2 linked regions of the Arabidopsis thaliana genome follow. The protein of the gene in region 1 interacts with the protein of each later gene in a pairwise test. Each region holds a gene or a part of one and is shown on either strand. Other genes may lie near its edges. The genes, in order: AT3G14100 and AT1G16500.

Region 1 (5,776 bases):
TGTAACTGCTTCTTCTACGAGTTAACCGGCTTGAACCGGAACCACCTGGAGAATTTAATTCTTCTTCTTCGGGAGTTACGGTGGTATCTTCTCCAACTTCGACGGTTAAAGACGGAGAGACTGATGGTTCCTCGAGGAAAAGTGAATCAGGCTCGAAAGTAGTTGTGTGGGAGAGAAGAATGTTACGGAACTCGTCTTCGAGTCTAGCCATAGCGATTTGAATAGCTGAGTTGGCTTTGACCTCGTGTTCATCGACTACGGTGGCGGCGGAGGTGGCGGCGGAGGAGGAAGAAGAAGAGAAAGAGACAGAAGATAAGGACCGTTGGATTTCATCAACGGCTCGAAGAAACCGATCCACCTCATCACGATCGCTTTGGAAAATCATCTTCCCTCTTGCTCCATCAGTCGCTGCTGAGTCCCACCGGAGTATTATCCTCTCCGCTGTCTCTAAGTTCGAACCATCGGAATCTAAACTATTCTCCGGCGGTTCCATCTAATAAATCAATCAGACAACAACAAAAAATCAAAAACAGTATAAAGAAAACTTCAAAATTCGAAAGCCAATGAATGATTCTCACCTCCACCGATTCAAATTCTTCTCAGATGGAAATTCGTGAAGGAGATTGGTTGATTTTTTGGTAAGAAACCACTTCGGTTTTTTTTTTTTTGCTTATCGGAAGAAGTCTTAGCAAAGGCAAAGCTGTCTGTTTGTATTGTTTTTAGTTTTAATTTTTGGAAGTTTCTGCGAGAGGTGGGAAATCGGAAAAAATAAGTCTTTGGACTTTTCAACTCCTCTTTGTGTGTACGTTGCCGATAAATTTTAAACTTTTTTATTCCGAATTACTCGCCGGCGGCGTAAAATGCCCGGTAAAAACTTTTTTGGTTTGTCGAATTATTGGGTGAGATCTAGTCATAAATGCTATTATGCCTAAAACAAAGTCCCACTTTCTCGATATAAAAAAAAAGACACACATCATGTCTTATTATGATCTTTCATTTCCATAGTGGGATCACTTAAGCCAGTAATTTTGGAAACTTTTTTTTTTCAGTTATCTAAAAATATATATATATATATATATATGACATATACATTTTCAAATATACAATACTTTCAATAAACTAAAATAATGTAGTTGTTTCTGTGCTACTAATTCGGATTTTTTCTTTACATAATTTTTGTTATAAATAGTTTACCTAAAATGTTATGACGTGGTTGGCCCATGTTGGCATGGCAAGGACATCAATTTGTATATGTAATCAAATTACCTGCGGATAAGAGAGTACCAATTTGGACATGTTTTTTTTTTTTGTATATTTTTGAATAGTCGAGAAAATAAATGTAGATTGTCAAACCTCATAATGAGATGTGGTTGGTGGACCATACTTGATTTTAATCGAGCCGATTAAGTAAAGGAGATAATACAAGTTGTAGTCATGAATATTTAAGGTTATTGAATTGTTTGAACAATTAGGTTAACTTAACAATAAATTGAAAATTTGATATATCTCACATACAAGATCATAATAATACAATTTTCTTTTTCAGTTCTCAATTTGTTTCTCTTTCACACAAAAAAATAATCCTCATTTTATTTGAGTCCTTAAATAAATTCATCTAATCAGTCACAAAGACCGGACTAATCCAATATACACGCTTGGGTCCACAGAACAAGTTAGTCAGAAATACTGGTCCTCCTTTGATATCTGCAGGATAAACGACGTCGTCTTTAGATATGGGCTTGGGCCTAAGACTGGGCTGTCAGTAAGATAAGGAACGGACAAGGAGTATTATTGGCAGTCACTAAAAATGGTTGTCACAGTGCCGTGACGTTAGTTTCACCTGACTTGTTCTCTGAAAATTAGCAATAAAATAAATCGTGCTATAAATAGTTCACTTGTGCCGCACGGTCCCTCTCATCTTCTACGGACAGCTTCTTTCTCTTTCCTCTCTGATTTTTTTTTTCTCTTTCTACCTTTTTCTTTTTTTATTTTCTTTCTTTTTTTTTTGTTAGTTTTTTTTTTTTTCTTTCTTCATCTCGTGAACGATATAGTACCTGAACCCTAGCGGAGGAAAATCAAAAATTGTCTAGGAGAAACAAACAGAGATATCTTTCTTTCTTTTTATCAGTGGGGAAAAAAAATGCAGAATCCGAGACTGAAGCAACATCAGCAGCAACAACAACAACAAGCTATGATGCAGCAACAAGCTCTGATGCAGCAACACTCTCTTTACCATCCTGGTGTTTTGGCTCCTCCTCAGGTTTTTATTTTACCTTTATTACATCTTCGATGTGTCTAATTTTGGTCGAAATTGGATTTTTTTTTTTTTGTACTGTCGTCTCTTTCGTGAGTCCTTTTATTCCGGGTCGGGTTTAGTTTGTGTTCTTCATTTGAAGATAATTTTTGTTCATATTCTGTGTTTCTTTTTCTCATTTGATTGAATGGATGGCTAGGGTTTCCAGATCCTGTAGGCTAGCAATTCGTTCCTTTTATCTGTTGTGATGTCTTTGTGTTTTAGTTTTGTTGCGTCATTACCAAATTGAGCTGATATTTACCTTCTCGTGCTTTTCTAATGGGGATAGAAAAGAAATTGCAATCCTTTTCATTTTCTTTCTTTCTTACTTTTGGCAATTGCAGTTAGAGCCTGTTCCAAGTGGAAACCTTCCTCCTGGTTTTGATCCCAGTACTTGCCGTAGCGTGTGAGTGAATTTTTTTAGCATCGCTTTGTCTGAAAGGTGCAGTTCCGAGTTTATGTTTTAACTTCTCCAATTATTCTAATATTGGCAGGTATGTTGGAAACATCCATACACAGGTCACAGAGCCTTTGCTTCAAGAGATTTTTACAAGCACTGGCCCTGTTGAAAGCAGTAAACTCATCAGAAAGGATAAGGTAGTTAGATTCTAAAATCCACCTGATTTCTACTTTATTGTGAAAGTGACCCTCTTATATAGTAGCTTTCTTGTTTTGGACGAGCATACCTCAACAATTGCACATTTTTAATACTTTAAGGAAACTACTCTACTTGCTGCTTACTAAAAATGGACTCATAAAGCATGCATCTTTTTATTTATTTGCAGTCATCATATGGATTTGTTCACTACTTTGATCGAAGATCCGCTGCTCTGGCTATACTGTCTCTGAACGGAAGGCATCTGTAAGGAACAATTTTCATAGTTTCCTTCCTCTCCTCTTCTTATCGTTCGAATGCTTTTGTTTAGGTTATAATCGTCGAGTTTACAGGTTTGGACAGCCTATCAAAGTCAATTGGGCGTATGCCACTGGTCAGAGGGAAGATACATCAAGTAAGTTTTGACTTTTTTTAAGTGTTGCATTTTGTTTGTATGTTTTTGAGGATACTCAATGTTTTAGTTTCCATGAGTTGCAGGTCATTTCAACATTTTTGTTGGAGATCTCAGTCCAGAGGTCACTGATGCAACATTATATCAAAGCTTTTCTGTCTTTTCCAGTTGTTCGTAAGTTCTGTTGCTTGATCAGCTCCTTTTAACTAACTTATTCTACTTGGTTGTAAAACAAATATCATAATCTCTGACTGTGTCTAATATTTTGAAGGGATGCGAGAGTTATGTGGGACCAAAAAACTGGGCGCTCGAGAGGCTTTGGGTTTGTTTCCTTCCGCAATCAACAGGTAATGTACATTCTTTAAATCATGCAGTGAGTTTTTGTTTTAGCTCAAGGATTGTTCGTGGTTTACATTAATGTTAAATGTTGATTTCATTTGCAGGATGCTCAAACTGCCATTAATGAGATGAATGGTAAGGATTATATAGTAGCTGAGATCTCAGTACTTCGTTCTCATGCTTTCTTGTTCTGAAGTGCTTAGAATTTGCATGCAACTGAATGATACTGTGCCTAGAAAGACCTGCTGAAAGTTTTCTTGATTTGTTAGTCAAGAGCTGCTGAAAGTTGCATAACTTCTGTTTCAGTGTCATCTAAAATTGAGGTTTTCTCTTTATTCTTAGCAATTAATCTTTGTTTCTATCACATCTTCTCAGGTAAGTGGTTAAGTAGCAGACAAATCAGATGCAACTGGGCCACGAAGGGCGCTACTTCTGGTGATGATAAGCTCAGTTCTGATGGAAAAAGTGTTGTGGAACTTACAACTGGCTCATCAGGTTGTCTTTCTATTACTGTGCAAATTCTTATGTTTTTTTCTCCTTCTCCTCAAATGGAATTTACGAACCTACATTGATTTTCCCTGAGTAATATGAAAAACTTTAAGTTAACAAAGCCATATTGGTCGTTTGATTGTGCAGAGGATGGTAAAGAGACATTAAATGAGGAAACACCTGAAAATAATTCTCAGTTTACCACTGTTTATGTGGGAAACCTTGCTCCAGAGGTACATTATCCACTAGGAAGTGCTCCTTGTAATACTATCACAACAAAAACAGTTTATTTGAGGTTCTTTGATGAAGTTTTACATTAGTAGATTTCGGGTACATCGTTACAGCTATCTATCTTGCAGGTAACTCAGCTTGATCTACACCGTTACTTCCATGCTCTTGGCGCTGGAGTTATTGAGGAGGTCCGTGTCCAACGAGACAAAGGCTTTGGTTTCGTGAGATATAACACTCATCCCGAAGCTGCTCTTGCTATTCAGATGGGTAACACTCAGCCTTACCTCTTTAACAGACAGATAAAGGTACTTTTAAGTTTGGCTTACCACTCTAAACCCTCTCTATTTGATCTTACTGCTCCCAAAAGTTACTTCATCTGAAACTTAGCATGCAATCTGACATTTGTTATCATGTTAATTGTAGTGCTCATGGGGAAACAAGCCAACTCCACCAGGTACAGCCTCAAACCCACTTCCCCCACCTGCCCCAGCTCCAGTTCCTGGTCTATCTGCAGCTGATCTCCTAAACTATGAGAGGCAATTGGCACTTAGCAAGATGGCAAGTGTGAATGCGTTAATGCATCAACAGGGTCAACACCCTCTAAGGCAGGCTCATGGAATAAATGCCGCTGGAGCAACTGCAGCCATGTATGATGGTGGCTTTCAGAATGTAGCCGCCGCACAGCAACTCATGTACTATCAGTAATAAACCTCAGTTCGTGGCGCCGATCTCAAGTTTCAATCTCTTTGCTTTTTCTCTTTTTTTTTTGTTTGTCTAGAACTTGTTTGTGTGTGTCTGTTTGTCTCTCACTTAAGTTATCTATATAAAGTTTTATCTGCAGTTGTATGATTAGTTATGTATTCCCATGGATTGTAAGACAAGCGAATTACATTCAATAAAAGGGATTTGGATATCCATTCTATGTGATTTTACATGAACATAAACAGACAACAAAGAAAAAAACATTGCGGAAGGATCAGTCAGTCTCTAACCGAGCAATGTACGTATCATAGAACTTTCCAGCTTTCTCGAGATCTCCCAGCTCGGTATAACAGTCTGCAATAGCTCCATATGCTTCAGTGATTCCAGAATCTTCACTTTCCCTCTTTGAGATGGCTAGAACCATGGAGTGATACTGTATGGCTTCCCTATACTTCCCTTGGCGCTGCAGCGAGGCGCCTAGGCCTCTTGCAGCCTTCTTTTCTTCGGTGGGGTCTTTGAGACTCTGGGCAAGTTCCAAAGCTATCTTGAACTCTGTATAAGCTTTCTCTGGTTCTTGGTTCCTAAGAAAGGTTTTTCCTGTTTTCAACTTGGAAATCAACTCTTGTTTCTTTGGTTCCACAATGATTTCACTATCTGGGATTCTTGCTCCCACTGGAGCATAACTCAAGCTTGGTGCATAAGACTCGATTTTGGC
Region 2 (3,861 bases), on another chromosome or scaffold:
TGTACGAAAAGAGTGAAAGAAAAAAGTTAGATAATTGCCTTATTGGATTAGTTGGATGAACGGAAAAGTTCGTTGCCACCTCCGACGGAAAGATACGTCAAACGTGGTCAAGAGCCCATGCAACAATCTAGCCTAAAAAATATTTTAAAATAATAATAATAATAATAATCAAACCTTTTCCTTATAAATTTAATTAATAAAAATTAATTGGTAAATTGCTGATTTATGTTGATATTATTTATATATATTGTAGATTATAAATATAAATGATATTCTTATATTTTAAAAAGACAATAGAACGTTACAAGTTTGAATAATAAATTTTGACCGGTAAATTGATGGTTTGTGTTGATATCATTACGTATTATATATTATTGACAAAAAACATAAATACTGATATTTTTAGATTTTAAAATTTGAAAATAGAACGTTATAAATTTTAACTAGTAAGTTGGTTGTTTGTGTTAATATCGTTTGTATTATATAAAATCGACAAAAAAATAAACGATATTTTAATTTTTCAAAAGGTAATAGAACGTTGTAAGTTTAAATAATAAATTTGACTGATAAATTAGCAGTTTGTGTTAATATCATTGTATAGATTATATATTATTGACAAAAAACGTATATGACATTTTGGATTTTTAAAAAGATAATAGAACATTATAAATTTTAATGGTAATATCGTTGTCCATATTATATATTATCGACAAAGGTTCTAAAAAAGACAATACAATCTTGAAAAGTTTTTTTCTAACGCCTTATAACGGTTACTTTATTTAATTTAGTTCTCTATAATTTTATATTAAATGAATATTATCAAATAATTTAAATTTATATCAAATTATAACAATAGTAGTATAATTTTTTTTGTTTCAGTTAACTTGAAATCCTTAACTCTAAATTTCAAACGTTAAATTCTTAGAAAATATACCATGAATATAAAAGTTGAAATTCTAAACTCATAAATCATAAAATTTAACTCACAACAAAAATATATTTTACTCTAAAATATAAACTAATTCACCATAGTCGAATATAGGTATGCAACAACAGAAAGAATATAGGTATAGACAGACTGAATAGTGGCTGAAATTATTGGGGACATAAAAAACATATCCAACCTATGGCCTTAATATGTGTAAGAGTTTGGTTCTAATAAGATTTCGAAAAGTCAAGAAATATATGAAGGATATGTTCTTGTTTTATCTTTTTTGCTAAAGGGATATAGATTGGTGTTAAACACATAATACTAATGGTGGTTTACTCTAAATACCACATTCGTACCAATACCTACTTCATTAAATATCTTTGACGTGCCCAATAAAAAAGAGAAGACGAAGTGCATTAAATACATGGTTCATCAATGCGTGTAGTTAATTGAGTAATTAATTGAATTTGAACGTAAGACTAAGAAAAATTTGAAAATTATGATTACAACAAGTAGAGAGAGAGGAGTATGACAAGGGGTAAAATATGTAATTTAATGGATAGAAGCTTGAATCTACTTGTAGTTTCCATGCATTTAATGCGTTTTATTTTCTTAGCATTTATTACACTTTGTGTCTGCTTCCTCCTTGAATTCCTCCCTCCACACCTTTTCTTTGGCCTTTTTGCTGTTAATTTGTTACTCTTATTTATTTATTCATTTAATACTTATGTTGGCAACAACAAAAAAAAGAGTTTGAAAGTTTAGTTCGTCGATGAAAAAGATGATTCATAAAGTTCTGAATTATGGGTTTGATGATATTTACCTTAGCCTTTTTCCACTTAGGCATGAATGGAATGGGTACAATCTCCAGTTTATAAACGTATGACAAAAATATGAAATATGAAATGATTCATATACTATCTTTCACAGATTGTAAGGTGTAGAATACAAAATTACACATGAAATTAAATCTTTCACGGTAGACAAAAGATGGTACAACAATAAAGAATTTCCATGCAAACAAAAGTATCCTAGTATATTCACAATAAATGAAAGAAATTAATTGGCTATAAATTTACTACTTATAACCGTCCTCGTAATTAACTTTGAGAGTAGAAGGCTCTGTTTTTCTTACAATGGCCCCATCTATATAACTCTCTCTCTGCCTAACAGACCCCATAACTGACCTCCCCTCTCTCTCTCTCTTTCTCTCTGCTTTCTTGGTATGGCTGCTGACGTCAGCTCTCTCGTACGGATACTGAGTAGGTTCAAGGATGATCGGACGGTTGTAAAAGATTCCACCGGACCAAGATCCACGGTGGCGCTCATGACACGCGATCTCCTCGGAATCGGCGGTTGTGTGGGTGGAGGAGGAGGAGGAGACGAACAGTCGCTGGAGCTTGACCTTGACGTCCAAGTCCCTAACGGATGGGAAAAACGTCTCGACTTAAAGGTTCGTCGCTATTTTCTTTCTTCTTGATTTTTGTAGTTTCGTGTTCTCGAGAGAATTTGGAGATAAGAAACTAACAAAACAGAGAGGTTTCCAAAGATTTGAATGATTTATAGATTCGTTGTGATTTTTTTGAACAGTCAGGGAAAGTGTATCTGCAACAACAATGCAATTCAACGAGCTCGTCATCATCGTCTCATCATCATCATCATCATCACGAAGACCAAACCAACCAAACAGTTCCAAGATTTCAAGATTTGAATGTGCCACCGATTTCCGATAAGTTTCCGGCGAAACCATTGTTAAGCCTCTTCGACGATGACGACGACACAAGCCTTGAACTGAAGCTAGTTCCGTCTTCTATCTCTCGTCCTCTTCCTCCTCCTCTGTCTTCTTTTTCTCCAAATCAGTCTCTCTCGTATCTATCGAGTGTTTGCACACTAGATAAGGTGAAATTGGCTTTGGAAAGGGCGGAGAAAGATACAAAGAAACGCCAATCTCCTGAAGATGACGGCGTTTACGATGGAACCGCTTCTGCCACCGTCGCGGCGTCTCAGGTGGCGGCTGGATGTCCAGGGTGCTTATCGTACGTGTTTGTGGCAAAGAACAATCCGAAATGCCCGAGGTGTCATTCGTTTGTTCCTTTGCCTGCCATGAAGAAGCCTAAGATTGATCTTAACATTTCGATGTGAAAAAAACTTTGGGGGATAGAATTGAATGGTTTTATTTTGTAGGTTCGATTTCTGTAAATGATAGATAAAATCAGGGGGTTTCATTGAAAAGAAATTAAATGCAGAAAGGAAGAGATGGATGTTATTTTGTAAATTGTTATGTAATGGATTTTCTCTGATGAATGAATAGTTGATCTTTAATTATTTGAAAAACGCTCTAATTAATTAGATACTACTAGAGAGTAAGAGGTAACCAAATTATACTCTTATATTATTTGGTCAACATATTTCATTATATTTACTTCAACTGTACTGGTATTTATTCCGCATCTTAAAGAACCCAATGTTTTTATTTGTCATATTAAGGAAGCAACTTAAGTCACGGGTTAGTTCAAAGTTAGTTGGAGAAATTTATATAAGTTACTTTATTATTCTCTCTGTTTCGAGATATATTTTAGTATATGTTTAGTTTTTATACATGATGTATACTGTATAAAAACTTATTTGCAATTACAAAGTGTATACCATTGTTTGTATATTCATATTATTTAGAAAATTTCTTTAGTATTAAATTAGGTGTAAACTAAAAGGTAAAATAAAAAACATTCAATGAAAAAAAAAATCTAATTTCTGAAACGAGAAGAAATATTCCACAACATCTAGTATTTGAAACGGATGGAGTATTTTGAAAATCATATTCTTATACAAAATGCACACGCTTGCAGCCTTAAACAATCTGGCTTGATTCTTTTATTTTAGTGTAACGGAATATTTACATTAAGGTAATCTAATGACGTTTCAGTATTTTC

Evidence for each region.
Region 2: the proteins of AT3G14100 (region 1) and AT1G16500 interact in a two-hybrid assay, tested with the Arabidopsis thaliana proteins (one large-scale study listed by BioGRID).

The regions. Positions count from the first base shown.
Region 1 is NC_003074.8:4,670,887-4,676,662, forward strand, and holds AT3G14100 (RNA-binding (RRM/RBD/RNP motifs) family protein), read left to right. Parts: upstream 1-2,029; 5' UTR 2,030-2,140; coding exon 2,141-2,260; intron 2,261-2,637; coding exon 2,638-2,699; intron 2,700-2,787; coding exon 2,788-2,890; exon of another isoform or gene 2,891-3,078; coding exon 3,079-3,155; intron 3,156-3,241; coding exon 3,242-3,303; intron 3,304-3,386; coding exon 3,387-3,474; intron 3,475-3,571; coding exon 3,572-3,647; intron 3,648-3,743; coding exon 3,744-3,774; intron 3,775-4,014; coding exon 4,015-4,134; intron 4,135-4,275; coding exon 4,276-4,361; intron 4,362-4,487; coding exon 4,488-4,664; intron 4,665-4,782; coding exon 4,783-5,064; 3' UTR 5,065-5,276; downstream 5,277-5,776. Other genes in the region: EXO70D3 (exocyst subunit exo70 family protein D3), read right to left, coding at 1-493; FLU (Tetratricopeptide repeat (TPR)-like superfamily protein), read right to left, coding at 5,336-5,776.
Region 2 is NC_003070.9:5,636,923-5,640,783, forward strand, and holds AT1G16500 (filamentous hemagglutinin transporter), read left to right. Parts: upstream 1-1,856; 5' UTR 1,857-2,156; coding exon 2,157-2,384; intron 2,385-2,521; coding exon 2,522-3,073; 3' UTR 3,074-3,280; downstream 3,281-3,861.